2 linked regions of the Canis lupus familiaris genome follow. The protein of the gene in region 1 interacts with the protein of each later gene in a pairwise test. Links are inferred from orthologs where the notes say so. Each region holds a gene or a part of one and is shown on either strand. Other genes may lie near its edges.

Evidence for each region.
Region 2: the proteins of CPT1B (region 1) and TEX44 interact in binary tests that used the Homo sapiens proteins (3 or more experiments, as listed by UniProt). The two-hybrid records come from large-scale screens. The link is inferred for Canis lupus familiaris from reciprocal best matches to the Homo sapiens genes CPT1B and TEX44.

Annotation. Positions count from the first base shown.
Region 1 is NC_049231.1:17,643,028-17,652,707, reverse strand, and holds CPT1B (carnitine O-palmitoyltransferase 1, muscle isoform), read right to left. Parts: upstream 9,656-9,680; 5' UTR 9,475-9,655; intron 9,195-9,474; 5' UTR 9,176-9,194; coding exon 9,035-9,175; intron 8,692-9,034; coding exon 8,552-8,691; intron 8,263-8,551; coding exon 8,001-8,262; intron 7,878-8,000; coding exon 7,776-7,877; intron 7,590-7,775; coding exon 7,452-7,589; intron 7,367-7,451; coding exon 7,289-7,366; intron 6,534-7,288; coding exon 6,426-6,533; intron 6,355-6,425; coding exon 6,270-6,354; intron 5,705-6,269; coding exon 5,509-5,704; intron 5,219-5,508; coding exon 5,033-5,218; intron 4,955-5,032; coding exon 4,849-4,954; intron 4,766-4,848; coding exon 4,649-4,765; intron 4,378-4,648; coding exon 4,213-4,377; intron 4,145-4,212; coding exon 4,010-4,144; intron 3,923-4,009; coding exon 3,770-3,922; intron 3,296-3,769; coding exon 3,182-3,295; intron 2,766-3,181; coding exon 2,673-2,765; intron 2,534-2,672; coding exon 2,450-2,533; 3' UTR 2,176-2,449; and 1 more. UniProt on the Homo sapiens protein: Catalyzes the transfer of the acyl group of long-chain fatty acid-CoA conjugates onto carnitine, an essential step for the mitochondrial uptake of long-chain fatty acids and their subsequent beta-oxidation in the mitochondrion.
Region 2 is NC_049246.1:43,632,465-43,642,569, forward strand, and holds TEX44 (testis-expressed protein 44), read left to right. Parts: upstream 1-4,585; 5' UTR 4,586-4,639; coding exon 4,640-5,767; 3' UTR 5,768-5,903; downstream 5,904-10,105.

The sequences.
Region 1 (9,680 bases):
GGGGAGGGGCAAAGGGGTAGGGGGGTGCGGGCGTGTGGGCATGGGGGTGAGAGGGGTATGGGGGCAGGGCGGGGGGTGGGAGTAAAGGGGTGCGGGGGGGCGAGGGGGGTGGGGGTGCGGGTGTGGGGGCATGCAGGTGAGGGGGTATGGGGCAGGGAGTGGTGTGCGGGGCAGGGAGGGGTGGGGGGTAAAGGGGTGCGGAGGGTGTGGGGGCGGGGAGACGGGTGACAGCCGCCACGGCGGGGTGTGGGGTGAGGGCGGCAGGGGCGGCGGGCACAGCTCGGGGACGCCAGGGCCGGGAGTCGGGGCACGCAGGGGGGCCCGGGCCGAGGAGGGCCGGCCTCGCTCACCTTTGGCACCGCCCACGCTAGCGTGGATCCACCGCCCACCTGCGCCGCCGCCACTGCTGGGGACACGCGGCCGAGCAGGCACGGCGCCCCGCCCCTTTCCGTTACTAGACCCGCCCCCCCCAGGCGGCTTCTCGCCCTCATTGGCCCGTCTGCCGGAGCGGAAGGGGTGGAGCCGCAGACACGTGAGGGTCGGTTTCGAGGCCTCATTGGCTGGTCTCTAGGGCGGAAGGAGGGGGGCCGCCCGGGCGGGTCTCACCTGCGGTGTCTGGGTGGCCCGAGCCCTGGCGGAGGTGGCAGGTGGCGGGAGAGCGCGGTGGGAGCGCAGGTGCCCTGGGGGTCCGACCGGCCTGGTCGGCTCGGCGTAGTGTGGGGGTGAAGCGCAGGGCCCGGAGGGCCGCAGGTGCTGGTGGGCATTGCTCAGTGAGCTCAGGGGCCGCCTGCAGGAAGCTGACCCTCGGGAGGTGCGCACCTGCCCACGGGGGTGGCGGTGGCTGCTGAGCAGGGAGCCCTGGCGGGGCCTGCAGACGAGGGAGCGCCCCTGGCTCAGGTGGGCCGGTGGGCGAGGCCCGTCCGGAAGGTGCGCAGCTGCGGCTGGGATTCGGGATGAGCCTGGCACCCACCGGGTTCGCCCCCGGGCAGAGTAGGAGACGCGGCTAGACGTGGCCAGGCCGTGCGCAGCTGTGCAGCCCGGGCCCTCGGCGCCTGGCCCGGCCGTCCGCCCTACCTGGGGGCCTCCTGCGCATGGGCTGCCCGCCGCTGGGAAACGGGGTGAAGGCAACCTCGGGGGCGACCGCTTGGGCTTCACCAGAAGCAACACCGGATTCCAGGCAAAAGTTTCATGGAAGGCAAGGGTGTGGAAAGGCCTGCCTCTTAGGGATGGATTCGTGAGGAGGTCAGGGCTGGGCTGGGAGGCCCGGGGCGCCCTGCACAGCAGGAGAGGTGTGTGAGCCCATCCCCCGGGGCCCTGCTGGATGCTGGTGTCCAAGACGACCTGGACCTATCGAGGAGGGAGGCCTGGGCTTCCGCCAGCCGGCCTTTCAAGAGTGGTGTGGAGCAGAGCCTCTATTGGGTGAAGCCGTGAAGGTGTCAGGATTTGTGTGTTCTGGCTGTGGCCTTCACGAGTTACAGATCTGGAAACCCGGCGGGGACAAGAAGCTTATTTGGAGGCTTGATGGGTGGTCACCTTGGTTTAACATTTTGGTTTCTCCTCTTATTTGAACCAAGAACAATCCAATTAAAAAAACAAAAAAACAAAAAACAAAAAAAAACAACGTTGGATTTCAACATTAATTAAAAGCCAGTTTTTTGGGAGACTCTGCTCACTGCTCTCCCGGGGCTGGGTGAGCATTCTCGCAGGCCACGACACTGATGAAGCACCTACTTCTACTTCTATAAAAGATATTTACTTTTAATGTTATTCTACTATAAAAAGCCAACGTGAGGGAAAGAGCATGTGTTGCCATCTCACAGCAAGGCCACGTGGCGTGCTGGCCGCAGGCCTGCACTGCAGCTTCCCTACAGCCAGGAGGAGGCCGTGGGCCGCCACAGGGCGGTGTTCCAGCCCAGAGGTGTTCGTGGACGAGGCAGCTGGGCCCCACTCTCTGGCAGACCACGAGTGGCCCCGGGGAACAGGTGAAGGTTCTGAAGCAAGATTTATTCCAAGTGGGTGTGGACAGTGCTGACCTCAGGAGAGACGTGCCTTTCAAAGTAGGTCACAAGCCTCTTGGTCTCCCAGCCCCGTCTCCTCCCTCTGCTACTTCTCTGGCCTGAGCTCTGGCAGCGGAGGGGCCCCTAGTTCCCAAACAAAGGTACCCAAATGCCAGGAGAGAATTACAGAGATTTATCTTTATTAGTATCTTTATTAGCAAGAAAAAGAAAACCAGAATTTCTACCACCACCACCACCCCCCGCCCCCGTGCTAAACCCCACTTCCACTGCCTGGGCCCTCAGGGAGCAGCATCTGCCTGGGGAGGGCCTGCTGCCGGAGGTGTCCTTGGAGCCTGGGCACCCGTGCATGGCCACCCCTGTGCCTCGAGCCAACCATGGGCCCCCTCCTCCACAGTGCAGGGATGACAGGGCAGCTGGCCTGTCTCCAGCCCTCAGCTGTCAGCCTTGGGACCTTGGAAAAGATTAGCGATGTCCAGCAGAGCTTGGCGGATGTGGTTTCCAAAGCGCTGGGCGTTCTGCGGGAGCCAAGAGCTCAGACCAACCCTGGCAGGGAGCCCCTGTCTCTCTGTCCCTGCAACCCAGGGCTCGTCCCCAGCCCACAGGGCTCTGGGGGGCACCTCCTCCTCCGCCTGAGCAGGGGCAGGAGAGACTCACCGTCTCTGAGCTTGAGAACTTGCTGGAGATGTGGAAGAAGATGGTGTTCTCGCCCGCGATCATGTAGGAAACCCCGTAGCCATCGTCTGCCACCTGAGAACAGCACAGATGGTAGAGAAGGAAACGAGCCTTGCAGGGCTTGCTGTCCCCAGATTCCCGGGAAGGGGTTCATTCCTGAGGTCAGGGGCACTGCTGGGAGGAGCTCTGCCCCTGCAGCTACAGGTGCTACCGGGATCCAGGGCAGTGTTTGTCCCAGGAGGCCTGAGATCGCTGCCTCTCCCCGAGTGTCTCCAGCCCTGGCGTACGGTGGGGGACCCGGGCTCTGCACCGTGAGGGCAGCGACCAGTCCTGGGCCCGGTCGGTTGTGCTGCCGCGGGGTGTCGTGTAGGCGGCTGCAGCCTGTGCCCGGGTAATAGCTGCCCACTGTCCTTGCCTGACTTCAGGGCCCTCCTCCCCCTGAGATGCTGGGGCCCAGTCCTGCTCCCCTGTGCCCTTCCAAGAGCACTTACAGGGCCAAAGCCACCACCGGCGCCCAGGTGTTTGGGGTACTTGTCTGGGTCGAACATGCGGATCTGGAATTGAGCAATCTGGCTGGTGGAGAGGCGCCAGGGCTCCGAGAGCACCTGCAACAGAGAGGCCACCGCAGACACACCTGTGTGAACTGCCTTGCGCTTGGCACGTCCCTGTCAGCAGGTGGTGCCTGCACAACAGCCTGAGCGGGTGCGCAGACTCCCCGTCTGTTCTCAGGGTGACGCAGCTGCGTAGAACCCCCAAGGCCCCTGTGACCTGACGGTCCCCTCGGCCCGTCCTACCAGCCTGTCTCTCCCTGGGCTCTGCTCCCTCCCCTGGGGCTGCTGTGCCCCTGCCCCAGTGTGTGGACACTGGAGGACCCCTTCACCCCAACCCTCTGCCTCCCCTCTCTGCCTCCGAGTGCTGTCAGCACCCGACAGCCACGTGTCTGTCTGTCCACGCTCATGAGAACGGCAGCTCCACAAGGGGAGACTGCTGCTCAGAACCAGGCCCCCAGGCCTGGACGGGCCACGGGGAGGGCAGCTGCAGGGCAGGGGACAGGGGACACCGCCACCAACCATGCTGACCTCAGCCAGGAAAGGGGAGCTGACCCCCAGGTACTTGGAGACCACGTAGAGGCAGAAGAGGTGCCTGTCTATGCCAGCCCCTGTCATCGCCAGGCGGTACATATTCTGGTGTTTCTTGGAAGCCTTCCGGAAGAGGTCTCGGAGGTCAGCTTTCTGGGGGGCAGAGGTGAGGCGGTGAGGGGTGGGGCGGTGAGGAGTGGCCTGGCCCCTAAGTGGCTGGCGGCGGAGCCGGGCGCTCACCATGCGGGACCCCTCTGCCATGGCCTGCACGAAGGCTGTGGACTCGCTGGTGCAGGAGCGCACGGTCTCGGTCCGTCCCTCCCGGAACATCCTGGTCATGGAGGCCTCGTAGGTGAGACAGAACTTGCCCCTGTCCTGGGGGGTGCAGGGGGTGAGTGCGGCCGCTGAGGCTGCACCCCCTGCCCCCGCGGCCCGGCCCCTACCCGGAAGTGGGCGAGTTGCAGGGCAATCTGCACGAAGGCGTCCGGGCTAGTGCGACACTTCTTGATGAGGCCTTTGCCGAACGGCAGGAACTGGAAGCAGTACAGCTCCACGTCGTCGGCTAGTGCCGTGGCCACCTGGCAGGAGCTCTCGATGACCGCTCGGCACTGCCAGCAGAGGGAGAGGTCAGCTGGGGGCAGAGCTCGGCACGCGGGGCTGCAGGGTCAGGGGGAGGCCTGGAGGGGACGACACATCCACAAACACGGGAGACCCCCTGAGGGGCCTGGGCCGGGAGGCCGGCAGATGCTCCATGGGCCAGGGTCACGCCCAGGTCGCTCACTGGCCACCAGAGGGTCCCAGGACCTCCCTGGACTCTGACAAGCTCTGTCCCTTCCCCCTGAGAGTGCCCCCCATCCCTGTCCCTTCTTGGCCACACACCTGCTCAGGGATGTCCCACTGCAGCCGCTGGGGAGCGGCCAGCGCGGGGTTAGCTTTGCCCTGGCAGTGCCCAGTCTCCGTGTAGCCGAGGTGAAAGGTCTCAGTACCCAGGACAAACTGCAGGGAGAAGGGGAGGCTGAGGAGCCAGCCTCGTGCCCCACACCCAGCCGGCCCCACAGGACCCCTCCCTGGCCCATCACCTCCCAGAGGTGCCCTATGATGGGGGCGTCTGCCCACGCGTGTTCTGTGTTGAGGCCCAGCTGGCCGTTCTTGAAGGCGATGACCGTGAAAGACTTGTCGAACCACCTGCAGGAGGGGAGGCGGGAGATGCAGGCGGGCGCGGAATGGGGAGGCCGGTGGAGGGCCACGGCCAGGGTGTCACACCTGTTGTAGCAGTTGCCGTGCAGCAGGGCCTTGCCGTACAGGCTGAGGCTGGCCTCATCCTCGGGGTCGTAGTGGTGAGACTCCTCGTCCAGGGCCACAAAGAAGGCAGCTCGCTCGATGGCATCCAGAGCAGCCTTGTTCTTGCCGGAGCTGAAGAAGGCCTGGCGCGCCTGTGCCCACTCCAGTCTGGGGCACAAGGGCAGGGAGGGCAGTGGGGTCCCTGTGGGCGGTGGAGGACCCCCCCCCCCCACCCCGGACCTGGCAGGACCGTCCGGGAGGAATCCCTGCCCCACTTGCTCCACCTCCACCCAGTCAGACGTGGCTAGACGCCGCCATGGCCACCAGTGCCCCCGGCTACAGAGGGTCCTACCCCAGACAGGGGGCGCCCTGCCGGTGGGCATGCCCCTTGCCAGGCCACTGGGCCCAGGTTCTGGGTGCCCTGCGCGTGGGCCCTTGTCCCCGTGGGGTGCTGGTACCTTCCCCCGGCCGTGAGCGCTGCTAGCTTCTCCTCCCCGGGCTGGGGCGGGGACGGGTCGTCCAGGATCCTCTGGAACTGCAGCTCCAGGTCGCAGGGCTTGAGCAGCTGGGAGCCCTCATACAGCCACAGCTTGAAGAAGCGGCCCTTGTGGTAGACAGCCACGTGCCTGCTGTCCGACAGGTGCTGCAGCAGGTCTGGGGCAGAAGCCGGCAGGGGGCAGGGGCTGAGGCCTGGGCCGGGCGCACCTCCCTGCTCCCGCACCACCCTGTGCTGCAGGCCTCCACCTGGACTTCCCCTGTGCGGGGCTGTGGCGGTGCCGCCATCGAGCCAGGCCCTGTGCCGGGCTCCCGTACCTCTTGTGCAATGCCAACAGTCCTAGGAAACACTTCACAGAAGAGGAAGCTGAAGCTCTAGGAAATTACACACACTGTCCCAGTGTCGGGAGCTGGACCCGCAGCACACAGCCCCTCCTGCTCTGCAGCTCCACCCCTCCTGCTCTCCTTACCCAGGCCACCTGCCTGGCTCGCAGGGTCCCAGCACTGGCATCAGGCCTGCGGACACGTGGTGTCTGGGACGGCTCACAAACCAAGCATTTGTCACAGTTACTTGACCCTGAGATACCTGGGACATTTGGTGATGACGAGCAGATTGGAGGGCACCTAGCATGCAGGCCCCGAGCTGGGAGGGTGGGGGGACTCGGTCCTGACGGCCCCAGCACAGCACGAGCACGAGCACGGACACCTGGCTGTGGCCCAGTACCTGTCTCCTTGCCCGGGATCCGGGTCGTGTTGAACATCCTCTCCATCTGGTAGGAACACATGGGCACAATGCCCAGGGCCATCACCTGGGGGGAGGCCAGCGCAGCTCAGATGCGGCCGTCTCTCCTGGCTGCGCCGCCCGCCTCACACAACTCACAGGCTTGATCTCCTCGCGGTCCAGTTTACGGCGGTACATGATCATAGCGTGCACGACGTTGCCCAGGCGGGCTGCCTGGATGTTTGTATTCTTGATGAGCACGAAGTCCTGCGGAGACAGAGCAGAGCCTCAGGTGCCGTGCCATGATCTCTCTGGGCTGCTATTGCCTGGGTCTCCCTGCCTGAGGCCCCGGGGCTCCTGACTCCCTTCCCCAGGCCACCCTGCACCTGTGTTCAGCATGCGCTGCCACAGATGGACCTGTGACCCAGCACATCGCCCCTCAGCTCAGCTGGAATCTTTTGAGCTTTTTCATGACCTACTTTGTTCATGTTTTATTTTGCATTGAGAAATAGTTTAAAACCTATTGCAGGCAAGTTGTATGTACGTCGTGGGGCGGGGGGGGGCAGCTTTGTGGGGGAGGGGACATGGGCACGTGACTCGGAACAGCTCTGGACAGCGGGAGACCGCGGGAAAGGAGAGGCACGCTATGGAGCCCCGTGGCTGGGCTGTGGGGACACCTGGCTGACTGGGCACCTCAGGTGCTGGGAGCCGGAGAAGAGCTGGTCGCGGGGCAAGGGGCTGAGCTCTGAGAGAAGCAGCTCTGGGTTCACATAGTGACACAAAGGGAAGGCACGAAAGGAGAAGCTCCCTGGTGGTGGTGTCAGGATGGTTGGGAACCTGCGGCTGGGATGCCAGCAACAGAGCCATGGCGGGAAGGGCCAGTTCCTGGGCTGGGCCAGGCAGTGAGCCCGGGGGACTCGGAGAGTGACAGTGTCAGGCTGTGGGTCCTCAGGAGCCCGGCTGCCCTGACTGTTCTTCCAGGATCTCCCCCAACCTCCCCGCCCCCCCGGGCCCGCTCGCACCATGACATAGTAGTTGCTGTTCACCACGAGAGGCGCCCTGCTGCGCAGGTACACATACTCTTCCCACCAGTCACTCACCTGCGGAAGGAAGGGAGGGGTCAGAGGCAGGGGACCCCCCCCACACACACATAGGAGGGTGAGGTAAGCCCAAGAGGGGACTCACATAGTTGGTTGCCCACCATGACTTGAGGACCAGGTACTTCTGCAGCCGGGGGGCGGTCTTGTCCTGGAATTCCTTGGCCAGGACCTCCATTCGGTAGTATTCCTCATCATCCAGCAAGGGCCGCACAGACTCCAAGTACTGTCCAGCCAAGTCATTGTCAGCGTGGGGGCCAAACAGCAATGACCGCCTCTGTCCTGCCCCCCTGCCAACCCGGCCCCATGGCTCTCAACCCCGCTCTTTGCAGGGGATGGTCCCTGATGTTTGGAGAAGTCCTTGCAGTCCAGCTTAGCCTGCCCCACTGGGATGTCTGACCCGAACCCTCACCCGCTGAACTGTGGCCGGCACGCTGGGCACAGGAAGCTTGGGCAGGGATGTCTGGAAGCTGTAGAGCATGGGCCTCCGGCTGGACAGCAGGCGGACACAGATCTGGGCACACAGAATGTTTCTGGTGAGAACCAGGGGAAATAACAGAAACAGCCACATTTGAGGAGCTGGGCCCCCAACCCTCAGAACCAGGACAAACCCACGCACCAGGTGCCAGTGCCCCACCTGCCTCTCCCAGCTTACAACCCCAAATGAGGTCCCCAGAGTCTCAAACCAGATGCCTGAACCCCTCCACCGGCTCCTGCTCACAGCCCAGACTTTGGTGAAGTGGCTGGTCTGGCCGTGCATCTCGAACATCCAACCGTGGTAGGAAAGAAGCAGTTTCAGGGTTTGGCGGAAGAAGAAGATGCCCATCATCCAGACCCCAGTGGAGAAAATGGCCATGCTGAGAAGTGCCCGGGTCTGTGGGGTCCGGTAGGGGCCACATCTGCCGGGGAAGGGAGAGGGCTGCAGGGGGTCCACTTGAGGTCAGGCTGGGGGGCGGGGGGAGTCTGACTCTGCACTTCTGACCGTGGTGGATCGCGTCGGGGGAGGCGTTGATGAAGAGCACTCCTGGGCACCCTCATGTCCGAGGGCCTTACATTCAAACTTAGAAAGTAGGACTCAGATGATAGTGGCCCCCCGGGAGGGCTGCCCCTAGGACCTCCAGGGGCTACTACTGGTTTGTGCCCTGCTCAGGAGCCTGCCCCGCCCTCCCCGGGAGCCCTGCTTCTCACCCCTCAGGGAGGCATCTCTGGATGCAGCACACCAGCCCCATGGAGATGTCCACCTTGCAGTAGGAAGAGCCCACCGTCGCCATGACAATGACCAGCCAGCTGGTGGGGCTGCCAGGGTACACGCCCCTGAGGATGCCATTCTGCGGGGCAGACACAGGCAGCTTGCAGCGAGAAAGGCCGTGGGGAGGAGGCAGCTGAGCTCCGGGTCTTGCGGGGCCTCCTCCCTTCCTCACCTGCTGTGCTCTTCCTCCTCCACGCTCCCCTACCTGCAGCACCTCTTACTCACCAGGGGGCTGCTATTCCTTGCGCCCTGTCTGCCCTGCACACCTGAGCACCCCTGGGGCTTCTGCACTGCTGGAGCCTATCACCCAGCATGACGGCCAGCCTCCAGCCTCGGTGGGCGGGGGGGGGGGGGCCAGCCGCCGACATCTGGCCTCGCCTCCGGGGAGACTGTTCGCACCTGCCAGAACCACCTGCGCCCACCTTGATGCGAATCAGGCGTTTCTTCCAGGAGTTGATCCCGGACAGGTAGATGTGCTTCAGGGCCTCCCGACTGAGCCGGAAGTCCACCCCGTCTGGGGTCACGGTGAACTGGAAGGCCACGGCCTGGTGCGCTTCCGCCATCCTGGAGGTTGGCCCTCACCTGGAGGGGTGTGCGGGCGGGCTGAGGCCGGCCCCGCCCCCGCGCCCCCCGGTGGGGGGGGCGCCCCCGGTGCCCCCACCCCCGCACCCCCGGTGCCCCCGCCCGCCCCGCCCCCGCTCGGGGCCCCGCCCCCTGCCCAACGGCTGCTGGACCCTCGCGCCGCGATCGGATCCGGGGGCCCCGCTGGAGGGGCAGGGGGGCAGGGGGAGCAGGGGCCGGGAGCCCTGGAGCCGCGGCGAGGTGGGGGCCCTGACCGCGCGAGGGGCCCCGTGCCACTCACGGCTGGGGTTCGCTTCCGTCCGCGCGGGGGGCCAGTCGGTCTGGCCCGTGTCCCCACGTCCTTCAGGCCTGGCCGCCCCGCCCCTGCCGGGAACCTGACACCCACTCCCAAATTTGGGTCGAGCAAACAGATGTGGGGCGGCGACCAGAATCCCCTCCTCTGTGTGGTGGGAACCGGGGTGGGGGCGGGCTCTGCACGCTGGCGTG
Region 2 (10,105 bases), on another chromosome or scaffold:
CACTGTCACACTCAGGCCCCACGCTGGCAGCCGCTCAGATGCCGGACACGGACCTGCATTCCCCCCTCAGCAGCCCTCGCACCCTGTGCCTGTGAAGGAGCAACAGCCCTGATGATGTCAAACATTTGCTTGGCCACACCCTCAGTGTTCTCTTCCCAGCACACTTGCTGAAAATGGAAAGATACTCCAAAAAGGAGGGGGGAGCCTGGGTGGCTCAGTCGGTTAAGTGTCTGACTCTTGGTTTGGGCTCAGGTCCTGATCTGAGTCATGGGATCGAGCCCTGCACTCAGCATTGAGTCTGCTTGTCCCTCTTCCTCCCTCTTTGCTCCTTCTCAAATAAATAAAAGCTTAAAAAGAAAAAAAAAAAGGAAAGATATTCCATGTTCATGGTTGCAAGAATTAATATTGTTAACATGGGGGCACCTGGCTGGCTCAGTTGGTAGAGCATTTGAGTCTTTTTTTTTTTTATTATTTTTTAAAATTTATTTATTCATTAGACAGAGAGAGAGAGGCAGAGGGAGAAGCAGGCTCCATGCAGGGAGCCTGATGCAGGACTCAATCCCGGGGCTCCAGGATCATGCCCTGCGCTAAAGGCAGGCCCTAAACTGCTGAGCCACCCAGGGATCCCTGAGCGTTCAAGTCTTAATCACGAGGTCCTGAGTTCAAGCCCCATGTTGGGCTGAGAGCTTACTAAAAAATTAGCAAAATAATTATTTTTAAAAAGATTGTATTTATTTATTCATGAGAGAGAGGCAGAGACACAGGCAGAGGGAGAAGCAGGCTCCCTGCAGAGAGCCCGATGTGGGACTATGATCCCAGGACTACGGGATCATGACCTGAGCCAAAGGCAAAAGCTCAACCACTGAGCCACCCAGACATCCCTAACAAAATAATTATTGTTAAAATGTCCATAGTGTCCAAAGCAATCTACAGATTCAATGAAATCCTTATCAAAATACCAACAGAGGGGATCCCTGGGTGGCGCAGTGGTTTGGCGCCTGCCTTTGGCCCAGGGCGCGATCCTGGAGACCCGAGATCAAGTCCCACGTCAGGCTCCTGGTGCATGGAGTCTGCTTCTCCCTCTGCCTGTGTCTCTGCCTCTCTCTCTCTCTCTCTCTGTATGACTATCATAAATTTAAAAAAAAAAAAAAAAAAAAACCAACAGAGGGGCACCTGGGTGGCTCAGTTGGTTAATCGTCTGCCTTTGGCTCAAGTCATGATCCCACGGTCCTAGGACCAAGTCCCACACTGGGCTCCCTGCTCAGCAGGAGTCTACTTCTCCCTCTCCTTCCACTCCTCCCCACTGCTCATGCTCTCTCTCTCTCTCTTTCAAATAAATAAAATAAAATCTTAAAAGAAAATACCAACAGCATTTTCCCACAGAACTAGAACCAATAATAGCAAAATTTGTATGGAACCACAGAGGACCCCAAATAGCCAAAGCAATCTTGAAAAAGAAGAACAAAGCTGGGCATCACAATCCCAGGTTTTAAGATATACAACAAAGCTTTGGTAATCAAAACAGAAAATAGAGCACTTGGGTTGCTCAGTGGTTGAACATTTGCCTTAGTCTCAGGTTGGATCCCGGGGTCCTGGGATCAAGTCCCACATCAGAATCCCCATGGGGAGCCTGCTTCTCCCTCTGCCTATGTCTCTGCCTCTCTCTGTGTGTCTCTCATGAATAAATAAATAAAATCTTTTAAAAAATAAATAAATGGTGCTGGGAAAACTGGATAGCTACATGCAAAAGAATGAAATTGGACCACTTTTTAACATGATACACATACAAAAAAACCTCGCAAGATGTAAAGAGCTAAGTGTGAGACCTGAAACCATAAAAAATCCACACTTTCTCATTCTTTGCAGTATGGATAGACTGAGAATTTTCCAGATCTTTAAGTTCTAATTCCCTTTAGCTTAATAATTCCATCTTTAAGTTAGTTCCCTCCTTTCAAAGTCTACTATAAACCATCAAAGCAACCAAGCCACACCTTCAATATTTTGCTTAGAAATTGCTTCAGTTGGGATCCCTGGGTGGCGCAGCGGTTTGGTGCCTGCCTTTGGCCCAGGGCGCGATCCTGGAGACCCGGGATCGAATCCCACATCAGGCTCCCGGTGTATGGAGCCTGCTTCTCCCTCGGCCTATGTCTCTGACTCTCTCTCTCTCTCTCTCTGTGTGACTATCATAAATAAATAAAAAAAAAATTAAAAAAAAAAAAAAAAGAAATTGCTTCAGTTTCTGCTGTTTTCGTGCCACCATAATGGTGCGCATGAGTGTCCTGGTAGATGCTCTCAAGAGCATTAATGATGCAGAAAAGAGAGGCAAATACCAGGTTTTTATTAGGCCATGCTCCAAAGTCATCATCCGGTTCCTAACTGTGATGATGAAGCATAGTTACATTGGAAAATTTGAAATCATTGATTCTCAAGGGGTGGGAAAATTGTTGTGAACCCCACAGGGCAGGTTAAATAAGTGTGGAATGATCAGCCTCAGACTTGATGTACCACCCCAAAGATCTAGAAAAATAGCAGAATAATCTGCTCCTGTCCCACCAGTTTGGTTTCATGGTACTGACAACCCCAGTTGGCATCGTGGACCATGAAGAAGCAAGATGAAAACACACCGGAGGGGGATGCCTGGGTGGCTCAGTGGTTGAGCGTCTGCCTTTGGCTTAGTAGTTGAGTGTCTGCCTTTGGCACAGGGTGTGATCCCGGAGTTCCAGGATCGAGTCCCACATCGGGCTCCTACAAGGAGTCTGCTTCTCCCTCTGCCTGTGTCTCTGCCTTGTCTCTCGTGAATAAATAAGTAAAATCTTTTAAACACACACACACATGCAGGAGGGAAACTTCTGGGATTCTTTTTCTAAGGATGTAATACATACATGTAAATATAATACTTCAATGGGAAAAAAAAAAGGAAGAAATTGCTTCAAATCCTTCCGATTCCATTGCTCACAAACTCTACCTTCCAGAAAACATTAGAACACTATCGCAATTCAGCCCAGTTTTTTTGCCACTTTATAACAAGGTTCACCTTCCCTCCAGTTTCCAATAACACGGTCCTTGTTTCCACCTGAGATCGTATCAAAATGCTTTTACTATCAATAGTAAATTCAGAAAAGAAAAAAAAAAAAAGTAAATTCAGGATTATTGGAGGTTCTCTGAGAAAACTGAGGATTTCACTCCAGAGGTCTCCCTTCCTTTCTAGCTTTCTCCAGAATCATCCTTAAACATCTTCACAGCACTGAGCTTCTCTGAGCCCACAGCTCAGACTCTCCCTGCCTCTGCCCATAACCTAGTTCTAGGGCTGCGTCCACATGTTTAAGTGTTTGCTACAACAGCCCCCTGCTTCTCAGCACAAATTTCTGTCTCAGTCTATTCGGACCACTATTACAGAGCACCATAGACCAGAGCAGGTGGGGGGGCTGCTTATGAACATTGGAAAAAGATTTAAGTAAACTCTATGCCCAACGTGGGGCTCACACTTACCACCCCCAGGATCAAGAGTCACGTGTTCCACTGACTGAGTCACCCAGGCACTCCCAACAGAAACTTATTTCTCACGGTTCTAGAGGCTGGGAAGTCCAAGATCAAGGCCCAGGTGGGTTCAGTGTCTGGTGAGGACCTGCCTCCTGGTTTGTAGATTGCTGCCTTCTGGCTGCATTTCACATGAAGGAGGGCACCAGGCAGCTTTTTATAAGGGCACCGATGCTGTTTGTGAGGGTCCCATCCTCACAACCTAACCACCTCCAAATACCATTACATTGGAGATTAGCTTTCAACCTCTGAATTTTGGGGTGGAACACAAACATTCAGTCTATGGCACCCCACACCAAAGACAGTCATTGGGATGCCTGGGTGGCTCAGCAGTTGAGCAGGCTGCAGGGAGCCTGCTTCTCCCTCTGCCTATGTCTCTCCCTCTCTCTGTGCCTCTCATGAATAAATAAATAAATCTTAAAAAAAAACAAAAACAAAAACAAAGACAGTCATTGCCAGGGGCTGTGCAGGCCCTCAGCCTTCACTCATTTCAACTCACCACTGCTGGGAAACTGACTCTCTGCAGAAAGACTGGCCAAATCAGAGTCCTCAGTCACCAGCATGGACAGACAGGTACTGGGGCTGGCTCCTTAGAATATTTATGATAAATCGACATCTGTGTCCCATGGTTCCTGTGGGCACCAGCACCTGTACCTATATATATCCACTTTTCTCCCAAAACATTTGCCTCTCTTGGGATGCCTGGGTGGCTGAGCAGTTGAGCGTCTGCCTTTGGTTCAGGTCCAGATCCCGGGATCCCGGGATTGAGTCCCACATCAGGTTCCCCATAGGGAGCCTACTTCTCCCTCTGCCCGTGTCTCTGCCTCTCTCTGTCTCTCATGAATAAATAAATAAATAATCTTAAAAAAAAAAAAAAAAAAAAACTTGCCTCTCTTTCATGATGTACCTGCAAACTCAGCTATAGATTGTCCTGCGGACTCAGCCCACTGGGACAGCCACTCCAGAGGCTCAGGACCCTTGCTGTGCAAATAGCTATGACATCACCAGCTGCCTACAGCCCCCTGTGATGTCACCACCTGAACAACTTGGCCCGGCAGGGCTGTGGCCACTCTGCAGCCAGAGCAAGTGACAGAAGACCTAGATGACCACCACGCCCTCGAGAGAGTCCAGAACTGCCAGCATCCCCACAGACGGCAACAGCAGATCCCCAGATGGTCCAGGAGCGGGGTCCCAAAATCAGGTGGGACCAGCGGCTAATGGTGCCATAGCATCACCTGAACAGCAGGATGTAGATCAGGCCTCTGTCGATTCGGTGACCTCCAAACCCACATCAGCATCTGGGGACCAGGACAGCTATGCAGTGGCTGAAGGGCACAGCCAGGAGCCCAGAGAGGCCTCAAACACTCTACAAATGTCCACAAGCCCCCAGGACCCAGCATGGGATAGACAAGGGCAAGATTCCAGGATGATTCAGGGCCTTCAGACCTCCCAACGTGACTCCCTGGCAAGAGAAGAGACCCCACAATCGGCAGGCATCCCGGACAGAGAACAGGAATCAGCCCCAACCACCCCAAGCGCTGAGGTGCAGCCCTCCAGAGCCGTGGATGCCCAGCCCGTGGGGAGCGGGGCAGACACGGCTAGGCAGCCGCGCGGTCAGGACACCAGCGCCACCGAGTCTATGGAGGCAGATCCTGAGCGTCCGGAGCCCGTGAGCCTTGACACCGAAGCTTTGCCAGGAGCTGAGTCCCAGGGAGTGACTGAAGGGGACTTGGGGGAGCGCTCCAGAGACCTGAGGAGGCCTTCAGTGGCCCCAGGAGGCAGTGGCCCGCCCTCGCCCGGCCCCCAAGAGGTGGCCCTGGGGGGGAGGTCCCTCGACTCCAGCCTTTGCATGGCCAACGAGGAGGACAGCTATATGCGCTCCATGACCAGCCTGCTGGGCGGAGGCGAGGGGTCCATCAGCTCCCTGGCAGACGTCCTCGTGTGGTCTGAGACCACCGTGGGCATGGCCTCGGCCCTGCTGGCCTCCGGCCACAGCTCGGTGACAGACCTGCTGCACAGCCCGGGGCCCAGCCTGCGCTCCGTCTCCAGTATCCTGGGGAGCACCTTCTCCTCTGGGCTGATGGCGGGGACCAGCCTGGCCCTGCGCTCTGTCACCCACCTGCTGGAGAGGGTGGAGCAGAGGACCCTAGAGGGCGTCCGCTCGGCCGTGCGCTACCTGACCAGCCACCTCGTTCCCCACCAGGCCCATGCCAGCCCAAACTCCGGCTAGACCCCAATAAGGGAGCCCTCCAGGGGCCGGCTTGGCAGCCTCTGAGAGCCCAGGGCCCCGCATGCCTGCTCCCCTGCCCGCCCCTGCACTGGCCAGCTCTCCCCGGATCAGGCAATAAAGCACTGGAGAGCGTTTATTTTCTAATCACAGAAAGGTGTCCCCCAAGGGCTTCTCGGGTTGTCCCACTGGGGGGCTGGAGGTTAAAGTCCAGAAACAGAATAGCCTAGCAGGACTGGAGGGCCAGGTGTAGGGGTCTCAGACTTGCAGACATTGACTCTGGCTAGACCTCCAACCACGTAAATATGTTCCTGAGGAAGTAAGGCCTGACCCTTCCCCAGGGCCTGCTGGCCTAGCAGGCTGGGGGGTGCCCTACCGGCATCGGGGGCTGTTGGGGGGGACCTGCTGGAGCTCTCTAAGTGGGATTGAGAGGTCAGAGCCAGACCAGTGTGGGTTCACACCCTCATGCTGTTACTGGTCCTGGGCAAGTCACTTCACCCTCTGAATCTCCGGTTCTCCCCAGTAGGATAGATAAGGAATCCATACCATGAGGGTGTTTACGAGATGTAAGGAAAACATTGCAGGGCCTAACACATGGTGTCTGGCACTTAATAAGCTCACACATTACACGTGCCGTTACTATCCTCAGTAGACTGGGGACACGGCAGGAAAAGGGGTCTAGGTAGAGGGACCAACCATCCCTGTTTGCCTGGGATGTGAAGGGTTCCTGGGACATGGGACTTTCAGATTTTAAAACCAGGAAAATCCCAGGCAAACTAGGACAAGCCGGTCACCATAGACCCAGGCTTCTTTATAAATGTCTCTGTTGGAAAGGGAGCACCTGTTGTTGGAAAGCCACCAGCCCACCCTCTGTCTGCATACCGTGCCACACGAGGCAGGTGACTTGGTGAGCAGAGCTCCGGTGGCACATCAACCCCACTCTCGCCCCTGGTGCCTGTGCCAGTCGCACCCTGCACCCCTCCCTGCCTCAGCCCTGGCCGTGGTATCATTCATTCCACCGTCTCCAAGTGGGAGCCCTGGGCTGAAACCGGCTCATCGATGTATTTGCCTGTCCTATACGGTGTTTCTCAAATCTTGTGTTAATTGCTAACACTTAAAAGGCAGGAGATTTTAACATAAAGTGACAGATTAAAAAAATAGATTCCTGCTTCTCTTAAAAAAACCTAGAGGCCTTATTTTTTCAAAGCAACCAGCAGCCCAGCTGCCCTCTTTAGAGAGACCTACCTGGCCTGCAGGGTGATTGATGTCACCTGGCCAGCGCCCAGAGGTGTGCCTTTGCCACCCCTACCCCGCTGATGGCTCCCTCGAGGAAGTGCGATACCAGGCCCCAAGGGGATGCAAAGACAGACCAGGTGTGTCTACCCCCTCTTCTCCAGAAGCTGCTATTTCCAGTAGGTGAGACATGAACTGTCTTCATAGTGAAAGCGAAAACTTCAGGGGAGGAAGATCACCAATTTAGATCCTAGTAATCAGGGTCTTCCAGAGGAGCAACTGAGTCAGATCTGAAAAGAGAGGAGCGGTGGTGTTCCCCGACAGAGGGGACGGGAACACAAGCTGAAGCAGGTGTGGGAGGGCGGTGGGCAGCTCAACCTGAGCTGAACCCAGAGCCGAGAACAGGTGACCAGGCTGCCAGGGTAGACCCCAAATGCTTTCCACAATTTCTGAACCAGGTAAGTGCCACTGTCTGGCAGAGAGAGACTGGCAAGGTGAAGGAAAGATTGGAAGGGACAGAAACCGAACTCAAGCCAGATCAGCTGCTGGGAATAGCCGAAAAGCACCCAGGTGGGAGCTGCTGGACCCAGGCTGGGCCCTGTCCTCAGGGCTCCATCTCTGCAACTTTGCCCCCTGCCCCCGCCCTGCCCCGCCCCAGCAGGCTACTTTCCTGGCGGCTGAGCCACCTTCCTGGAAAGACAGAAGCCTTGTTCTTACCAGCTGTGATGGGTTTGGGCCCCGTGCTCCCTCCGGCACCAATCACTGAGGCTCACGCCCACCTAGGGGAATGGGGGGGGCACCAGGGTCAGCCCGGCAGTGAGGGCTCCCCCTCCACAAGGGCTGCTAGACCAACACCATTTTGCATGTTGAAGAGTTGTAAGAGTGTGCCCTTGGGGGCCCTGCTGCCTCCAATCCTGCTCTACCTCCTATGAACTGTGTTACCTTAATCTCCCTGTGCCTCAGTTTCCTTATCCCTAAAATGTCAATAATAACAGTACCTATGGCATCGGGCAGCCCTGAGGGCCACGTGAGTTTAATGCGTCAAGTTCACAGCACAGTGCCTGGCACGCAGTTGAGTGCTGTGTGTGTTTGCAATCACTGTGATTCTAACTACAGAGGCTTCTATGGAACCATTCATTGCCAAGGACTGACTTTCCCTGCTTGCTCCGGCCTTCCTCTTTACTGCCCAATAAACAGTCATGTTGCAAATCCTCCTGGCAGCACATCTTCTCTGAAGGTGGAACCCCCCACCACCCAGGCATCCAGGTACTAGTGCACCCAGAGAGAAGGCCAGGCGTGCACACTGGGGGCTGAGGGTGAGACATGGACAGAAGTGGGAGCACCCCAGCTCTGGATAAGAAGGCCAGAGCCAGAAAGGAAAGGGCCCAGGCAGGAACTTGGGGGAAAGGCCTGGTTCCCCAAGCAAGAGGGAAGCGGTTCCCGAGACTCAGGAGCAGAGCAGGGGGGTGATCCAGCCTAAGCCCATGCGGGCCTCTGGGTGGCCAAATATGGAACAAGGGAAGCATTACGGGGGAGAAGCAGGTAGTGGGAACAGAAGGTGGCATGGAAGGGGGAGAAAGGAGGAGCAGTGGTCAGAATAATGGGGTGGAGGATGCCTGGGTGGCTCAGCGGTTGAGCGTCTGCCTTTGGCTGAGGGCATGATCCTGGGGTCCTGGGATCGAGTCCCACATAAGGCTCCCTGCATGGAGCCTGTTTCTCCCTCTGCCTGTGTCTCTGCTTCTCTCTGTGTGTGTGTGTGTGTGCGTGTGTGTGTGTGTGTGTGTGTTTCTCATGAATAAAGAAATAAAACCTTTTTTAAAAATTAAAAAAAAAAAAAGAAAGAATAACTGGGCAGCTGAATGGAGTGAACTCTCTGGTGTTGAGAACTGAAGCTTCGACAAAGTCATTAATTCACCCCCACGGAACTGGAACCCCCTCACTCTTTCCCATTTATTTATTTATTTTTAAGGTTTTATTTGAGACAGAGGGAGACAAAGCAGGAGCAGGGTGGGGAGGGACAGAGGGAGAGGGAAAGAAAGAAGCAGGCTCTGAGGGAGCCCCATGGAGTCATGGTCCCAGGGTCATGACCTGAGCCGAAGGGCCCACTCTTTCTCCTTTACATGCCAGAGCTCACACCTGACAACCACCAGCGTTTCTCCAGGATCAACACCCACCCTTTTGGGTGTTTGTCTGCCGCTGAGAGATCGGCCTGCAAGCAGAGGTTCTGCACAGAGACTTTTAGGCCGGGCTGAGTTCCAGGGGGACGGGCCCAACATCGTGACCTCCGAGCCCCACAGGAGCTGCAGCTTGGCAAAGGGAAGGGCGCAGATCAGTCCTGGCCCACAGCAGAAGGGACACTGTGGCCTCTCCCTGTGGCACAGTGGACACTGTGGTGGGTCGTCCATCCCCTTCAATTAAGGACCTGTTCCCCCTGCTGCTGGGGGCGCAGTCAAGGATCAGCCTTCAGTGCCAGCTCCTTCAGAGAGCTGTCCCCCCCATCGTGGCCAAGTCTGGGCCAGAGTCTACGGTATGACTGTCCAACTCCAGCTCTGGAATGCCTGTGGGGCTGGCCGGCGGTGGGGGGGGGAACCTGGGGTTCACGCTGCAGACTCCACTCCCCTCCACCCGCTGGCTCTCAGATCCTGCGTTCCAGAGAACCCAACTTGTGACCAGTTTTGTTCCCATCTAAGATGCGTGGGGCAGGGGGGTGAAGGGGACCTACAAATTAAAACTGTGGCAAAAGTTCAAAGATGTTTTTTTTTTTTTTAAGATTTTATTTATTGGGCAGCCCTGGTGGCTCAGCGGTTTAGCGCCGCCTTCAGCCCAGGGCATGATCCTGGAGACCCTGGATCGGGTCCCACATCGGGATCCCTGCATGGAGCCTGCTTCTCCCTCTGCCTGTGTCTCTGCCTCTCTCTCTTTCTCTCTGCGTCTCTCATGAATAAATAAAATATTTTTTTAAAAAATAAAGATTTTATTTATATGACAGAGTGAGAAAGCACCAGCAGGGGGAGCAGCAGAAGGAGAGGGAGAAGCAGGCTCCCCACCAAGCAGGGAGCGGGATGTGGAGCTTCATGTGGGGTTTGATGGGGGGCTAGATCCCAGGAT